Linked DNA regions of Struthio camelus. The protein of the gene in region 1 purifies or fractionates together with the protein of each later gene. This does not show direct contact. Links are inferred from orthologs where the notes say so. Each region holds a gene or a part of one and is shown in the gene's direction. Other genes may lie near its edges.

Evidence for each region.
Region 2: the proteins of STK40 (region 1) and TRIB1 purify together in Homo sapiens (affinity purification with mass spectrometry; 3 studies listed by BioGRID and IntAct, counting the BioPlex papers as one, with this or other methods). This does not show direct contact. The link is inferred for Struthio camelus from reciprocal best matches to the Homo sapiens genes STK40 and TRIB1.

Annotation. Positions count from the first base shown.
Region 1 is NC_090964.1:10,309,531-10,318,507, reverse strand, and holds the start of STK40 (serine/threonine-protein kinase 40), read left to right. Parts: upstream 1-5,333; 5' UTR 5,334-5,348; coding exon 5,349-5,497; intron 5,498-8,937; exon of another isoform or gene 8,938-8,952; coding exon of another isoform or gene 8,953-8,977. Other genes in the region: protein OSCP1, read left to right, coding at 12-81, 293-432, 1,213-1,276, 1,832-1,948; U7 snRNA-associated Sm-like protein LSm10, read left to right, coding at 2,630-3,001. UniProt on the Homo sapiens protein: May be a negative regulator of NF-kappa-B and p53-mediated gene transcription.
Region 2 is NC_090943.1:161,116,540-161,124,786, forward strand, and holds the start of TRIB1 (tribbles homolog 1), read left to right. Parts: upstream 1-4,897; 5' UTR 4,898-4,968; coding exon 4,969-4,978; intron 4,979-5,568; coding exon 5,569-6,155; exon of another isoform or gene 6,156-6,191; intron 6,192-6,637; coding exon 6,638-6,930; intron 6,931-8,247. UniProt on the Homo sapiens protein: Adapter protein involved in protein degradation by interacting with COP1 ubiquitin ligase. The COP1-binding motif is masked by autoinhibitory interactions with the protein kinase domain.

The DNA of each region.
Region 1 (8,977 bases):
TTTCTCACTAGGTACAGTGTTAGCCGGCCAGTAGAGACACACATGGCAGGATCATCCAAAAGCTTGGCATCCCATGCAAAGGTCAGTGTTCTCAGTCTATAAATTCAACCAACCATTTTAAATGTGTAACTGATATAATTATGACTTACCTGCACTATCTCCACCATTAAAAATACAGAAATATATTTACATCACTTTGAAAAATATTTATCTAATATGAGAAATGACCAAACTATTGCAGTCCTCATTTTCCTGTTAATCTGGCCATTTAACCCATTACTGTTTTTTACAGGAGAATACAGCCCCTAATCCTCTTGCCAAAGAAGAGATGAACTTTTTGGCCAGGCTAATAGGAGTTCTGGAGATCAAGAAACCTGGTGGCAATGAGACAGGATTTCGACTAAACTTGTTCACGACAGACGAGGAGGAAGAGTATGCTCGAGTTGTGCTTGGTTGGGGTTTGTGATTTAGTCCCATGTGGACAGTCCTGGAGACTGAAGCTGAGCCTTAACAGCCTTAGGGACAGAATAAGCAGTCTTTGTAGTATCTCCTTATCCTGGTGCAGATAGTCCCTGAAGGAACACAAGGAACAGCAGTTTCCCTGGCTTGACCTTTTTTTTGGGACTAGCAGCAAGGAGACGCATTTGCGTTACTGGTGTTTCACTTGTGATGCAAGCTCTTGTCCTTGGGACTGCTTGTCCCTTGAAGTGAGACTGGCAGATCACCAGTCTGTGACCATCTGTGCTTAGGTCCTGTCACACAGAACTGAAACAACGTACATCCCTTCAGCTCCTTTAGCTCTCCCATCCCCCAAATGAATACATACTTATCTCCTGAAATATACATATCTTAACAATTGATCAGTGGTGATAAGCCTAACAGGCTTGACTACCTTAGCTGCTTCCTAGCAGGGAGCAAAAGGGTAATGAGACATTTCATTATTTGATTTCTGCAGAATTTTTTTTGCAGAAATTTTTGCAGATTTGTTTTATTTGCAACTAAAGAGAGACTCTCACTGTTCTACAGCTAGCATAAGAAATCCAAGACAGGGATAAGACTGCAAACTGGGATTAATGTATTAATTTGCCTAGTAAAAATAGCAAAGTTGTCTAAACTTCATGTCCACAGCAGCCTCATGAATCTGATTCTGTTTTCATCACTTACTGGTATGTCATCGTGAGATTAAGCACTTTTTTCATGTTTTCAATCAAGGCACGCAGCATTGACTAGACCAGAGGAGTTATCTTACAAAGTTATCAACATAGAAGCCACTCAGGTATGTACGGTGTATTTCTGATCTTTTGATTCTAATCGTTCTTTCCTTGCTAAGAACTGAGTTTTACCTGTGGTAGTGACTTAAAAATATATAGATGTGTTGTGTTCAAATTCAGTTAAGCTCGTGATAAGTAATGGAAATATAGTCTACTAAGTTTGTAGATATAGTAATTACTGAGTAATAGAACTTGAAATATTTGAATATTTCAAATATTTGAATTCCAAATATTTGCAGCTTTCTCACTTATTAGAACAAGTTTTAAGACCAGATGGACTAGAGAACGCATACCGGATCATGCCTAATGCCTGTAAACCCTTAAATCACCTCCTTAATTTTAACAGGCAATTGGGCATCTCTGAATAGGGCTGCAATACTGTGGTACTTTTACAGGGGAGAATCCCAGCCGGTGTCAGGAACACAGGCGGGAGCACCGTCAGCCCAGGAGAGGCAGTTGTCGGCAGATTAACGGGGGGAGCAGTACCCCTGCGCTCGCTTGTGGCACGCCGGGGCTGCGGGGGCCGGGGGCGCAGGCTGAGGCTGTCTCTCTCCGCGCAGGACCCGGGGCGGCAGGAGGAGCTGGCCCGCATCCTGGGGGAGCTGGAGGTGGCGGAGCAGCGCCCGGCCAGCACGGCCAAAGGCGAGGACCTGCTGGCGCTCATGGACGGGCTCTGACCGCCCGCCGCACCATTAAATACGCTGTTCCCAGCCTGGCACCGAGCGAGAGTCCGGGGCCGGGGGCGGGCGGGCGGCGCCGGGGCCGGGGGCGGGCGGGCGGCGCTCGGGGGCGGGCGGCTCCGGGGCGGTTCGGGGGCCGGGGCCGCACTGCGCACGCGGCCGCTCCGCGCCGCCCCTTCCTGCCGCCGGGCCGCGCGGGTGAGTGTGCCGGGGAGGAGGGAAGCACATGCACGCGAGCGTGCAAGGGGGGGCGGGCAGCGTGCACGCCCGTGTGCGCGGGGATCCAAGCGGCGCGTGGCCGCGGGAGAGGGGCAGCGGGCGGGTGGGTGTGCGGGGGGGCGCCTGCAGAGCGAGAGTGCGAGCAGCGGGAGTGGGCGTGCGGGTGAGCGTGCAAGAGGAGGAAGACAGTTTGTACGTGCGTGTGCAAGGAGAGGAGGGCGGTGTGCACCTATGTGCGTGTGCAAGGGGAGAGGGGGTGGTATGTACACCAGTGTGCAAGGGGAGGAGTGTGAAAGCATGCAAGGGAGATGCAGTGCATTTCTTTGGTGGCTGCACCGCAGCATGTGCCCCGGGACACAGAGTCTGGCTGACCTGCCCCTGGGGGAGCGGGCAGTGGGGCAGGCAGGTGCTGGTCAGAGCGCTGCATGGCGTCTCCTGTTCCTCTGCTACAGCGGCGCGATGGAGGTCAGCCACTCTGTCAAGGAGCGCACCATTGCCGAGAACAGTCTGGTCATCCTTCTGCAGGGCCTGCACGGCCATGTCACCACTGTGGACCTCCGTGATGAGAGCACAGCCACTGGGCGCATCACCAACGTGGACGCCTTCATGAACGTGCGCCTGTCTGAGGTGACCTTCACAGACAGGCAGGGCACAGTGTCCCACCTGGATGAGCTCTTTATAACCGGCAGGAACGTCCGCTATGTTCACATCCCCGACGAGGTGGACATCAGGGCCACCATCGAGCGTCAGCTGCAGGCAATCCACAGGATCCGCTATTTTGGAGGCCGTGACAAGGGCAGGAAGGAGTTCCCTCGAGCGAGGCACAAGTGATCCTTCCTGGTGCTGCCGTATCTCCAGCTCCAGCACGGACCCTGGCGCCACGTGCACGGGAAGGCAAGGACAGGTGTGTCCCCTCTTGACAGGACACTGGGACTTTCTGCCAGCTGCCTCCACACCTTGCCCTGGGCATCCCTCCCAGGGACACAGGGCTCTGCTTCTCCCCTGGCTGGTGCCTATGGGAGAGCGGGGGGATCCTCAGTGCGAGGTTATTTTTTTAATGAATAACCCTGCTTTAAAGGATCTGTGATTTCTCTTTTTTTTTTTTTTTTTTTCCAGCTCATTTCCTGTTTGCTTGGCAGCTACTCTGTATCCCTTCTCTCACTGCTCACCATTCTTCTCAAACAAAGCCCTTTTGGTCAGAAGCCACAGTTTGGTGTTATTGCTTGGCTGTGGTCTCCCACAGGCATCCTACTGCTCTCACAGCTTTGCCTTCCTGGCTAGTGGAGACTGGGACCCCACTGCTATGGGTACCTCTGTCCGCAGGAGATTGAGCGCTGTGGAAAGGGGGTCAGGAGGAGATGGAGGCCATGAGACAGCCTGGGCACTCACGAGCCGCAAAGCTGGCAAATTGAACACAAGGTGCTGGTGTGCATCATGCTTGTTGGCTACAGCTCCCCAGGTGGCTTTCTCGGATGCCCACGGGTGTCTAGCTTCACTCCTCCTACAGCCCTGATGGGCATTTGCACCCGTGGCCAAAACAGGTGCGTGACAGAGGGGAAGGGGCAGTGCTGTTCTGCATGGACAAGTGCAAAGGTGCAGGGATTGCTCTGCTCAGGGTCCTGGGAAGAGGAAGCTGTGCTCAAAGCCTAGCGCGTGGCAGCAGGAGGATGAGGAGGGCTCCCTCGTGTCTGCATGGGCTCTTCCTGCTGCTGGAGCCAGGCACGTGCTGGTCCCCAGGCAGCAGATGTGTCAAGGGCAGACACCCAGGAGTTGGCAGTCACTGCCCCTAGGTGTGTTGCTGGAGTCAGACAAGCCCTGGATGGCTCTTTTGGCCGGGCAGGAAGGAGTCACAGACCTGGCTCGTGTTGGCAGAGGGTGATTGGCAACAGTGAAAGGAATGGGAATGAAATGGGTTTTTATGATTCACAGGTCTATGTTATCACCGAGGACACAGCAAATGCTACCGCTGCCAGCTCCTCTGCTTCCTCACTCCTCCATAAGTCTTCCCCAGCCCACTGAGAGTCTGCCTAAAACATTGCCAGAGTCAACAGATGACTTCATCCTATTTGGTACAGGCATCTCTTTGTTACCCAGTGCTGCCTGGCCATCTCCGAGATGGAGCTCGGTGGCGGTTGCCCTGCGTGTGTGTGTGTGCGTGCAGCTCTGTTCTTGGGCATGGGCATCCCTCCTGGCTTGCTGGAGTGGCTGCAGTGCTGGGGGCAGAGCAGGGACCCCAAGGAGTCGGAGGTGAAGCTTGTACCCCACCGTCCCCTGAAGTGCCGGTCAGGTGGAGATCAGGAGCGACTATGGGTGAGGAACAGAACCTGGGCACAGCGAGGGATGATGACCCTGCGCCGGGGGGCGGGGAAAGGGGCTCCTGGTGACCCACCAGACCTCCACACAGGCCGCCTGGGCCGCCCCAGCTGGGAAGACGGCTTGGAGTGGTTTTTGCGTGGGCTTGAGCGAGGCGGTTTGAAAAGGGAGCTTTCGGCGACCCGCCCCAGAGGCAACGAAGCCTGGGGGGGCCCCCGCCTGCAGCGGGCGCAGGAGGCCTGCTCACTCCTCCGGCTCAGCTGGTCGGGGCAGCGGCGTGGCATGACTCGCCCCCCCTGACCCGGAGGTATCCCAGGGGGCCGGGCCCCCGCGCGAGGGGCAGAGGGGTTCCCTTCCCCTGAGCCCCCGCAGGGCCGCGGCCCTGGCGCTGATTCACGGGGCGGGGAGGGCCGGGCCGGGCCGGGCCTTGCGCAAGCGGCGGAGGCAGCGGGCCGGCCGCTCCGGGCCCTGACTCAGCCCGGCCCCGGGCTCGGGGCGGCTGCTGCGGCCTGCTCTGGGGGTGGGGCTGGGGCCCGGGGGCGGGGCTCCCTGGAAAGCCCCCGGCTCTCCCCCAATCACGGCGGTTTCGAATCTCCCGCCTGCCCACCAACCCGCTTCCCATCCACGGCCTGCCGCAGCGGCAGCCAATCAGCAGAGGGAGCCGCGCTGCTCCGGCCAATGAGGCTCCGCTGTTCGCCTCCTCCCGCCTCGCCTCCGGGAGTCAGCCAATCAGATCCTGCCGCCTCGCCGATCCCCTCCCGCCTCACCTGAGCTCTCCGCCAATGGCGGCCGGCGCCAGCTCCCCGGGCCAGCCAGAGGCGCGCCGTCCCCGCCGCCATCTCCGCGGCGGCCGCCAGGAGGCAGGATGGCGGCCGGCGAGGGGCGGGGCGGGGGGGAGAAGGCGGTGCGTCACTTCCGTCGTCAGGTGGCCGCCGCCGCGGAGCGGAGCGGAGGCCGCGGCCGGGCGTGGGGCTGCGGGAGGCGCCGGCGGCCGCGCCGGCCCCGGGGCCATGGGTGAGCAGGGCCGGGGGGGGGGGTCGGGCCTCTCGCTTCGGGGTCTTCCTGCTGCTGGGCCGCGCTCCGCCTTCCCGGGGTGGGGGGGCGGCGCGGCGCTGCTCGCCCGGCTCCTCAGGGGTCGCTGGCCGGCGGCGGCGGCTGGGGGCAGGCGGCTCGTCCCGCGCGGGTCCGCGCCCGCGGGTGCTCGGCGCCCGGTGAAGAGCCCTGGGCGGTTCGCCGCCCTCCGGGAGCCGGAGCTGCCCCCCCCCCCCCGGCTGTCTCTGGGGGTCTCCGCGCGGCCCGGCGGCTGCCCCTCTTGTCGCGGCAGCCCTGCCGCTGCCTAGCCCGCTGCCGCCTCTTCACCGGTCAGGTGTTAGCCGTGGCGTAGTGCGGCGTGCTTATGCAGTTAGGCTGAAAAAGTCGGTTAACGAAGCTCCTTTTGGGTTTTTTTTTCCCTCCTGTCGATAACGGTAGCATGGTTAGGGGGTTTTTTATTTTGTTGACAGCGCCTAACTCAACTCTCCTGGCAGCACAGCGATAGGTTGCGAGCGTGCTGGGGGGCCAGCGGCTCCTGTCTGGTGCCGGCTGTGTTTTCAGGCTGGGTGACAACGTCTGAAGTTAGTTGCTTGGGGAGAAGGCAGTCTGGGGTGCTCCCAGCAGTAACTGGCTGAAGGCTGTAGCTCTAAGTAAGAACGAATAGGACCATAAATTATTAAAGTTGGAGCTAGCTACAGAAACTTGTCCTGTCTCCTCTGTGTTATTCCCTTAATTCATTTGAATAAAGTAATAAGGAATGCTTTAAATTTCTTCTGCTTTAAATTATCTAAGAAGATAATTTAAATTATCTTCTTTCTTCTTCTTGTTAGTTGCTTTTCTTTTCTTTTTTTTTTTTTTTTGACAGTGGCCTTTGAAAGTTAGAGTTCAGTTAAAATCCTTTCTTGCCGCGCCATGCGAAGGTATTAAAGGTCCCGCGTTTTACTGTTGGAATGAGCCCGTGGAGCCTCGTCTTTGCCCCACTGCCCATCTCTCTGGACATAAGGGCCTTCTAGACTTGTTTTTATTTTGGCCAGTTACTCCTTCCTCCTGTCATCCTGTCCACTGTGTTATCTGTTCACTGGGTCTGGTTGTGAATATGGATGAGCTGTGCTGGTTATAGATTCCTTACATGCTGAAAGCAGGTAAGGGAGCTGCATTTTCTAGTACTGCAGTTTATTTGCATTTGCAGCAATATGCTGTCCTAAATTTGGGAATTAAGTAATTTCTGAAAAAATTCCAACACCCTCTAAGCTTGAAGTTGGCTTTCTTAAGCCTTTGTTTTTTCTTTTACTGGCTTAGAGTCTTAATATATAGGCTTACCATACACTGCTGTTTGACAGCGTGCATAGGTGCGCTCGGCATTTGATTGCATTCAGGCTGTAGTCTCAGCTATAGCCCGGTGTCAGAAAGGAGGTAATGAAGTAGGAGTGAGTGTTGGAGCTGAGATTACTCAGCAGAGGCTAGTGCAGAGTATGGTGGGGCTAAGCAATCTGGGTCTCAAACTCCTTCCTGCTGCAGGGGGAATAGGATCTCTCCATGGCAGAAGGGATGTTAGTTGAGTGCTCCAGCTCATACGGAGCTCGGGTAAAAGAGCAGACTGGCAGTGTGCACGTAGCAGAGGTGAAGTTTAACCTGAGGGACGGGGCAGATCCATGGTGCATAGGTAAGATTTAGACCAAGAAAAATCAATGGTATCATTTTGTGCCAAGTCCCTTATTCCTTGAAATAAAAAGGGTGTTTGTGTACTACAAAGTCTTTGGCTTTGTGCCTGTGCCCAGTCTGATCTAGTTTTCATCATTCCTGCAGTCAGCAAAGACCTGATGACCTGAATTTTGTCATTGTAGCTAAAGCCTCATCAGCAGCCCTGGCTAGATAGCAGCGATGAAATCCAGTGCGCTGAATAACACGGGCAGGTTGGTTCTCACTGCCCCATTAGCTCTAGCTAATGGTGCTGATGGCCTGTTTTGTGTGGGGGGACTTGTCTATTTGTTCACAAAACCGTGTATCCTGCTAGTTGACGGGTTTCAGCAGCTGCTGGAGCAGGACTCAGGTGTGTTGACAAAAGTAGGGCTAGTTTCTGGTATGTTCTCCTGAAGGGCTTCTGCTAAGATCCTTTTAGCGAAAAGTCCCCAGTCGGTACCATTTGGGATGAAGGAAGTGTTTCCCTGATGCTGGAGTGTTTTGCTACATCCTTTTATTGTTTCTCTGTGGCATCTGCACTGATGATTTGGTCACATAATCACATTACTTAAAAGCACCCTCATGTTCAGCTGCCTTTTATCCTCAGGATATTGCAGAATCATCTCCTTTTAAAACCACACAGAGGGAAGCCTTGTAGCCACTTAGCTGCTGTTTGATTAAGGACAACCCTATTGATTTTGCCTGAACTGCCTGTTGCATTTAGTCTAATAAGGGAAGTGTTATCTGCATTTGCAGAAATTTGATGGTGCTCTGGATTTCTGCGTTTTGTGCCTCACTCTTGCCTGTGAGCTCTCCAGCTAGGAGCTCTTGCTAGACTGGAGGAAGCTCTGTGCCTATTGTAATTTTCCATATGAAATATTCTCTTCTTGTCAGTGGGGTAAATTCCTTTTTGGTCTTGTGGTATTTATATCAAATGTGCTTTTATGACATATATGGTAGTATGAATTAACCATCTAGATAACTTGAAGTATTTGTTTCTGTGTCGTTAGGGCCTTAAGAGTAAACTATATTAAAAACAGCAAGCATGTCTCACCATAAAGAAAATGTGTCAGCATGTGCATGAGTCATGCAATAATCTTTGTGCATGTGAAGCAAGTCCTGCTGCACTGAACTTATGGAGCACTAAATATACACAGTAACTTAAGCTATAAATGAAAAATAAAATCTAGTGCAATGAATATCTTACCTGATGGTGATTTTAAAGCTAATGACTACATAACTTCATGGGAGCTCTGTGTGCACTGCAGTCCAAGGTCAAGAACTCTATATGTCATGATCTGCTATTGAAAGAGCAGCGTAGTCTTTTTCTGGTATTTCCAGAATGCCAAAGTTTCATTTTTCAGTTCTTGTCCTGTGTTGTGTCATGCTCTAGTTGGCCTCTGCAGTGAAACATTAGGCCCTTCTGGGAGCATTGTTCTCTTTTTTGTGGTGACTGGAAAGCCTTACAGATGTGTCCCGTGCTTCAGCATGAAAGGGTTAAGCTTAAGTTGGTGATTATGTAATCAAATAGGGAACTCCCAGAGATGAGTCCTTGGCTATCTAATGTGTTGATGTATCAGAAGAGTTTAAAGAAAGACTAGGTTGTTGCGTATTTGTGCTGTAATTACATTACTGGAATCCTGTGCTTCAGAATTTCCCCTGCCTGCCTGTGGGGCCAGAAAGGAATTTTCTTTCCTTGATGCATTGTTTGGTCTCTGGAAGTCTTTTGTCTCTGAAAAGTTGGAGTTTGGCTGCAGATGGACATGGGATGTAGGCAAGGAT
Region 2 (8,247 bases), on another chromosome or scaffold:
TTTGTGAGGCACGAGTAATCTCACTGAGTTAATGGGACTGCATTGAGGTAGATGAGAACTGTGTTTCATCATTTCAAAACACTGCGTAAAATGGAGATTCAGGGCTAAGGAGAGAGTTTGCCTCAGTTACTTATTGTGATTTTAGTCCGGACTTGAACACAGAGCTTGCAAGCACTCACATGAATTGAATTGCATGGGAAGCTTACCAAAGGAAGTGTTTGCTTGTAAACTCAATATGAATAGGATCTTCTCTGACCGCAAGGGAAATGGAGAGACACTCATTCACTGGTCGCTTGTGCAATCAACTTCTGAAGTAAAAACAGGATTTGAGGTTTAAAACCTGAACCTTCACATATCTTTCAAGTAACAGAAGAAGCCTTCATGTGCTTTAGTCCATGAAGAAACAAAGTCAGGAGGTGCTGCTCATGAGACTCCTTGGATTTGATAACAACTGGCTTATCAAAAGGGAATTATTTAGTTTTCCTAGCAATAGCAAGCCTCAGAACAGTTTCTGTGAAGGCTTGAGGGGAGACGTCTGAACATCATTACATTTCAGTTTGTTTGATGTCCCTGCGTGCCTGTCATGCGTTCTATATCTTAACATTGAATCTGTCACTCAATTCCAGAATGTCTTAGTATGGTTGCATGTTTATCACGATGTGATTTTGTTGTAAAAAACATAACTTGTAAGCTCTTTTTATCACTGGGCCACACAATTGCACCTCAGACTTTTTCCACGCGGGTTGCTTTCACATAGCACTACGGTAGTAGATTATGGACTATTTGCTCGTTTTAAATGCTGGCTTTAAATCTACTAGTCGTTTAAATATCATGACATGGCTTGAGCTAACTTGTAAATACAGATATTTACTTTTCATCATTTGCCTGACAGTTAAATATTAGCTGAAATATTTGTGTGTGATGACTCTTCTCATCTGATAGCTAAAATGATGAGTTTTTAATTTCTTCCCATAGCAAGCAGCCAGTTTATTTATAAGTGGCCTAATCTAACACAGATTTACTCTGTGTATCCCATGAGACATATTATCAAAGTAACCAGACCTGTCCCAAGCACTTGGGAAGTGGGGAGATGGTTACACAATTCTCATTGCCTCTGGCTGTTCTAGTTAAAAAGATAAAGGGTCAGAGAACTGGAGCAGCAGAGATGATAATTTCGTGAGCATCTAAGGAAAAGCAGCTGATCAGATGCGGGCAGGCAGTGGCTGAGGGTGAGACGGGTAGATGCTTGAATACCACATAATAAAAATTCCCTTAAATAAAGTAATACATCAGGAAAAGGGAATGCAAAAAGCTTGTGAAAGCATGAGCAACTGAAAATATCTCCAGCTTCTTAAATCTTCATCTAGCAGGTGCGATAGCACTGCTTACCTGTTTTTAAAAAAGGAAAAAAAATATATATGAAAAGGAATATTCACCCTACCTTGCCATGGCTCTAGCCAATGTGTGCTGAGCAAGACCTTTCCCTCTGCTGGGATGCCTCAAAACTGTGACAGCCATCCCACAGGCTGTCACCTCTGCTCCAAACGCCAACTCCCTGCCTAGCAGTTGGGATTCCTGGAAGAGAGAAGACAGCAAGCAACCCTGATTGCTTCGATCATCCTTTTCCAAGGCAGGATCAGATTTATGGCCAGATTTTGCACCGTCCTTTGACTGCAAACTCCTTAGAATTCTTTAGCGTTTGGAAAGTGTCTGTTGCACGCAGATTAGTGATCCGTGTCCTCGAAGGCCAGGCCTGCCCCACCTTACTCCTACCCAGCCTGTATTTGAGCATCCAAGGCTGTGTGCTTGGTTCCTTGTAGTATGCGGGATTGTAGCTCATAGTGTTTCGTTTTTCTGGCACTTAGGTAACAAGACTCATGCACAGAGTCAGTATTTTATCCCAAAGTTAAGTCTATAAATGTAATTCTGCAATGATCTGTGCTTTGCAGTGTTTTACAGTGCTATCCATCTGAGATGCATGAGACCGCCTTGCTTCATTTGGAAGGGCTGGCTTTAAATCTACTAGTCGTTTAAATATCATGACATGGCTTGAGCTAACTTGTAAAATACAGATATTTACTTTTCATCATTTGCCTGACAGTTAAATATTAGCTGAAATATTTGTGTGTGACCTGTTTAGACTCAAATTCATCCCTGGCATAGCTGGGAACTGCCAGCACCAGTATTCATCTCCTCTTATAACCTATGGCAGCCCTCAGAAATATCCTTTTTTAACGCACAGCACCCTGTAAGAGAGCACAGATGCCCCATGGATCATCCCAAACCATCCCCCAAAATGCCTTCAGTCCCTGGGCTTCCTGGGAACCCGTTATAAAGGGGATCAGCTGGTACAAAAGGTATTCAGATGCAGTAGTAAATGCCCAGGGTACCTCTGAAGTCCTTGAAACAGTTGAAGATTAAAGATGCTATGGCTCATTGCTGGCTCCCTGAGCAGAGATGAATTTCTTTCTTCATGTATGCTAAGCAGGTAGCATGAGAAAAATCTTCCTGGGCAGGGGGGAGAGATGAAATGACGAAGGCTTGTGCAGGGAAAAGAAGGAAGATATCAGTGGCTTTTGATTTCAAGAGGAAACTAATGAGGGAGATACGCCTGGATATGCCTGGATGCTTAAAAGCCCGGGGAGCAATCTATAACACGTGACTGTTGTGGGAAGTGTGGTAGACTCATATTCTGCACTACTTTTCTAACACTAGAAAGCTACAAAAAGTTCTTCAGTTCTTCACACACCGCTCCCTTGAATTCCTCCTATGTCCTTTCTGCATTGCTTCGCAGTACAACCATAGCAAATCACTTCTTGTTGTGTTCTGCCACACGTGTTGGGAGGAATTAGCAGGGAGGGGGTGCTGCATGTGGACCTTTTCTGACAATCTGTACCCAAAACTTAAAACTGACAAGGCGAGCATCATTAATTTGATTAATGATTAAACCTTTCATGGCTACTATATATTTATTCATGATATTAATGCTCCGAGTACCCAAGAGCATGCTAAGCATTTTAAAGAAGCAGCGGCAGCTTCCTGCTGCAATGAACTGCCTCCGTTTTGCAAAGAGTTTAACCCTGGGAGATTTACGCCTCGGTTCACCTCAGCCACATTTAGGCAACAGAATTAGGAGCATGGTCCACCTAGGAGTCTGTACAGCCTGCTAGGAGAGGCCACCGAGCAGCACTTTGGGAGGGCCACACGGCTCTTGGGCAGTTGAATCACCTTTTTGCTGGCCCTGGAGGCATCTGTGGGGCTCCTTGCTGATGCCTGCACCCGTCCGGCGGGACACCTCCAGGGTGGCCAAGCCCAGCGTCCCAGGGAGAGCATGAGGAGGCGGCTGGCCTGGGGGGGGGGACAAGCCCACAGGCCGTCCTGGGCTGGGTGCGACATCGCGGCACCTGTGTGCTCCACTCTCCCTTGCACCTCTGGTTGATCTTTTAGGGGCACGGGATGAGCAGGGGGCTTTTGGCCATCTTAAGGACCAGCCTCAGGAATCGTCAGGCTCTCGGTGTCTCGAAGGCAGCGTGCGTGCAGGTGCTGGCGGCGCGGGGCCGGGTCGGGCGCGCCGAGGACTCCTGGGCTGGCCGTGGCCGGACGGGCACCAGGAGCCCTCCAGTGGGGCCAGAGGCCGAGGAGGTGAGGGACAAGACTTGTGATTTCTGCAAGTGGTTTCTCAGCACGGTCTGCTCCTTAAGACGTATCTGAGCTCACAGATACTTTGTGCTGGCCTATGAACGGGAAGAGAGGGACCATTTGGAGGGCCAGGACCAAAGGCACGTACATACTGCAGGTTCACCAGTTGGTGTTTACTTTAACGTCTTCACTTCCTGCGCATACGAAATCACCACACGAGTCTGAAGGACAAGTATGGTGAATGGTGTTATATGCTAATAACGCTGGTGAGTAAGGCTTTGTAGCTCCACTGTTATTTTGGTGAAGTGTCTAGACTATTACCCTGCCCCTAAAAAGCACTGACCCCCTTCTCATCCCCCGCCCCCAGTACGCTATCTCAGATGTAGCATGCAGCCTATTTATGCAAAATCCTACCAACTAAATTAAACCTGCAATGGTATCCAAATTGTAAAAAGTCCAGGAAGGGAAAAATAAAACAAAAGTCTGATGGATAATCAGGCATGTTTTATCTATGAAAGGGACAAAATGAAAGAGCATGCTTTGAGAGTTGAGGTGAATTGCTCAGAAGCAATCTGCAGACATTAATAGAATCACATTTCTGAAACAAAAAAAAAAAAAAAAGGAAAATGCAACCCCTGGGATATCCCTTTTTGGCATATGCATTTTGTGTTTAAATGCATTAATGGGACTGCTATGCTATGAGTCATCCAGCACAAGAGTTTCATATGTTTCTTAAAATACACTAGGAGTAGCTGAAGGCATGCACGGCTTTGCAGTGCAGTTATCTATCAGGAATCTCAGCAAATACCTGCTCTTCATGCAACCACAGGCTTGAGAAATGGAGGAACCCTATCTAGTCCTCTAACATCCTGCTGTTTAAACGCACTAGCGTGGTGGCATTCAAGATGCGATACAAAACCGATTCTGCAGCTTAGCAAAAGCCCAGGCTCCTTGTATTATTGTGCAAGCCTCAGTACTGAATTACAGAAAATTTGCATAGATGTAAATAGAAGAGCCGGGAGCAGTTTCCTTCTGAAGAACTGTCAGAATTACGGCTGACTCTATTTTTTTTCCAGCGATCGTTTGTTGTCTGTTTTCCTCTTGTTTTTCCTCCATTTACTAGCAACCCTGGCTGCAAACCGACTTGGTGTTCCCTCAAGCCTGCGCTTCCGAGCCTGCCCGCGGCTGCCCAGGCTGACCCTGCGCTTGGCAGGGCGCTCCCTCGGCTCGCTCTCCGTTCTGTTACCTTTCAGGACAGCGGATGCTTTAAAAACGGGCAACCCCCAAGGCGAAGCGTTGCTGACGGGGCGCAGAAATCCGCGCTCGTGAATGACCGACGGTAAATACGCACCAGCTTCGTGATGCAAACTGCGCGGTGAGCAATGGCTAATTAGCGACAAGTGACAAACAGGAACTGCTGGCGATGCCAGCAGCGAACAGCACGGCGCCGAGCGCGGCTGTGCCCGCTGTCTGTCCTGACAAGCAGCCTGGCTTGGCTGTGTTGTGTTTGCAGCCCCCAGAAGGGCGCAGCGGTGCTGTCCCGCGGGGAAGCGGGGCGCTACGGCAGCTGGCACCGTTCCCCAGCGGCACCCTTGCTGCCGCTTCCAGCACGGGCTTGCAAAACGCCAAAGCCGTGCTCCTCCTTTGCTGCCCGCGACTCCCGCTCTGCCCGACAGCGTGGGCGCCTCTGAGCCACGCTTCCCGCGTGGGCGCCAGGGGCACGCGGGGCTCGGGGCGCCCTGTCCCGGCAGCGCTGGAGCCAGCGCAGGTGCGAGACGCCCGGCGGGGCCGCGGCCAGCGCGACGGGGCGGGCAGCGGCGGCAGCGCCAGCCTCCGCCCCGGCCCCGGCCCACTTCCCCTTGCGTCAGGGCAGGGAGGAGGGGATAAACCTCGCTGCCTTTCTTTCCTTTTTTTTTTTTTTTTTAAAAGCCTCCAAGTACTTTAGCGCGGAGTCGGCGGCAGATGGTGGACACGGCCCGGGGCTGCGGCGGGGAGAGCGAGGCGATGCGCCAGCCGCCGCTCCGCGCCTGAGCCCCGCGTTGCGGCGGCAGCAGCAGCAGCAGCAGCAGCGGCGGCAGCAGCAGCAGCAGCAGCAGCCGCCGCCGCCGGCCCGACCCCGGCGCGGCCGGAGGCTCCGCTCCGCTCCGCGCCCGCTCCGCGCCCCCTCCATGAGCCGCCCGGCGCCGCCGCCGCCGCGCCGCGCCGCCGCGCTCCTCCTGCCGGCCGCCCGCTGCCGCAGCGCCCCGGCCAAGCGGCTGCCGCCGCTGCCCGACGGCCCCGCCGAGGAAGCGCCGGCCGCCAAGTGCCCGCGCCTCGCCGACTGCCCCGGCGGCGCCGCCGACTGCCTCAGCGCCCCCGGCTCGCCCTGCGCCCCGGCCTCGCCCGGCGGCGGCGGCGGCGGCGGCGGCGGGGCCGGGCCGAGCCTCATCGCCTCCTACCTGCTGCTGCCGCTGGCCGAGCGCGAGCAGGTGTCGCGGGCGCTGAGCGTCAGCTCCGGCCGCGAGCTGCGCTGCAAGGTGAGCGCGGCGCTGCGCGGGCGCGCGGCTTCCTCCCCCACCACGCCGGGCGGCGGCGGGCTTGCGGGTGGCCGGGCGCGGGGCGCGGGGCGCGGAGCAGCCCCGGCGACACTGGCCGGGGCAGCCGGGCGGCGCCGCGGAGCCCTCGCAGAACACCCTCCCGCTGCTGCCCGCTTCCACCGGCGGCCAAATCCGGCTGCCCTCGGCGGGCGTTTGCCAGCGCGGAAAATAAGCTCCGGCTGTGGATTACCTTAGAGTACCTGAAAGGCTCTTGGTGGATATTAAAGGCTTTGGGTGGTGCTCCCCCGCCCAACATAAAGTTAACAGTGCTTTAATAGCCTTGGAAGGGGTCTCGGGAACAGCTTTGCTGCTGAGCGTTGGCGCTTTTCCAGCTCCCTCATCATTGTTTGGGGCGAGTTGCTACGAGAGAGGCCGGTTTCAACGCCTTGACAATGAATTTCGCTTTACTTTCCTCCTTACAGGTGTTCCCTCTCAAACACTACCAGGACAAGATCCGGCCTTACATTCAGCTGCCGTCACACAGGAACATCACCGGGGTCGTAGAAGTGATCCTCGGAGACACCAAGGCCTATGTCTTCTTCGAAAAGGACTTTGGGGACATGCACTCCTATGTGAGGAGCTGCAAAAGGCTGCGGGAAGAGGAAGCCGCCCGGCTTTTCAAGCAGATCGTCTCAGCTGTAGCTCACTGCCACCAGTCGGCCATCGTACTTGGTGACCTCAAGCTCAGGAAATTTGTCTTTTCTAATGAAGAAAGGTAAGCCCTTACCGCCTGCCAGCCTCTGGGAGGGAGCGCTAGGGAGAACTGCCGCACTGAGAAATGCCATGTTTTTAGGCAAAAAGTATTCCAGGGAGTGGAAATCTCCAGGTAAACCAGGCGTCACCTACAAGATCCGAGTACGTCCATGTTACGTATATTTAATAAGTCACGGATCTAATTGGTCCGCGCTTATTTTCAGTCCGATCTTGACTGATGAAGCTGAGGAAACTCAGCGTCAGCCTGCACTCATTCACTAAAAGTTTGACGAAACCCTTTGGTGGAAAAAGGGATGATCGTGCGAGCGCTCCTTAGCGCCAGATGTCCAAATATATATCATCCGTGCAATGCGTTCGACAAGAAATGACTAAAAGGCACAGACCGCGGGCGAAAGGAGGCTCAGGCACTAGGCACGCGAAAGGGATAACAGCTCTGCTCTGGCAGCAGGAAGAGGGAGGAATCCCCGTTCCCGGGGAGAGCCCCATGGCCCTGCCAGCTGCCCCTGGTGGTTCCCCCCCCCCCCGGCACCTTTCAGCGCCGAGAGAGGAGCCACCAGCAAGGGTCTTCTCTGATAGCTTCTTATCAGAGTTGTGTTTCTAAGGATAGATTTGCTGTGCCCTTTGAAGCTTTTCTCTCTCTCATCCCTGCCAGCGGTGACGTTGATGGTTTCTGCACCCCACGTACACGTGGACGTGGGCACGCACAGGAGCGAGGGTGTTACATGGTTAAATCTGACTTTGGGAATTCTTCTCTAAGGGGGGGAAAAAAAAACCCCACAAAGCAACACCTTGATAAAACTTAGCCTAAAGCATAGGTTTATAGAGAGATGATTCTAAGCCGATTCTAATAGGAATACTTTCACAATTACTTTTTAATTTTAGATGAGGGAGTTAGTTCACATTTCCCGGGTGTGTTTGCTGCTCTCGAGATCCATCACTAGCACGGCAGAGCCAGAAATGTATTTTAATAAGCAAAACTGACATTGATTAGGTGCTTATCCCATTGACGGCTATAATAAGCAAGAGCTTTAACGGAGTTGTGCTTAGTCTGATGAAACCTGAAGTGTTATTAGTGAAGCAGAGAAAAGTGTATTTTTTTGAACTCGGCTGATACTCCTTGAAGATGCAGCGTACGAACATGATAAGAAAATGAACTAGAACTGCCCCTCTGACACAGAAACAACCATATGTTGTCATGCAAAGAAAGTAATTCCTTTGAAGGAAGCTATTGCAGCTTTTCCCGCCCATAATGAGGTGAAACATTTGTTGAAATGTTAGATTGCACACAGTCTCGCTAATTTGGAAATATGCATTGCAC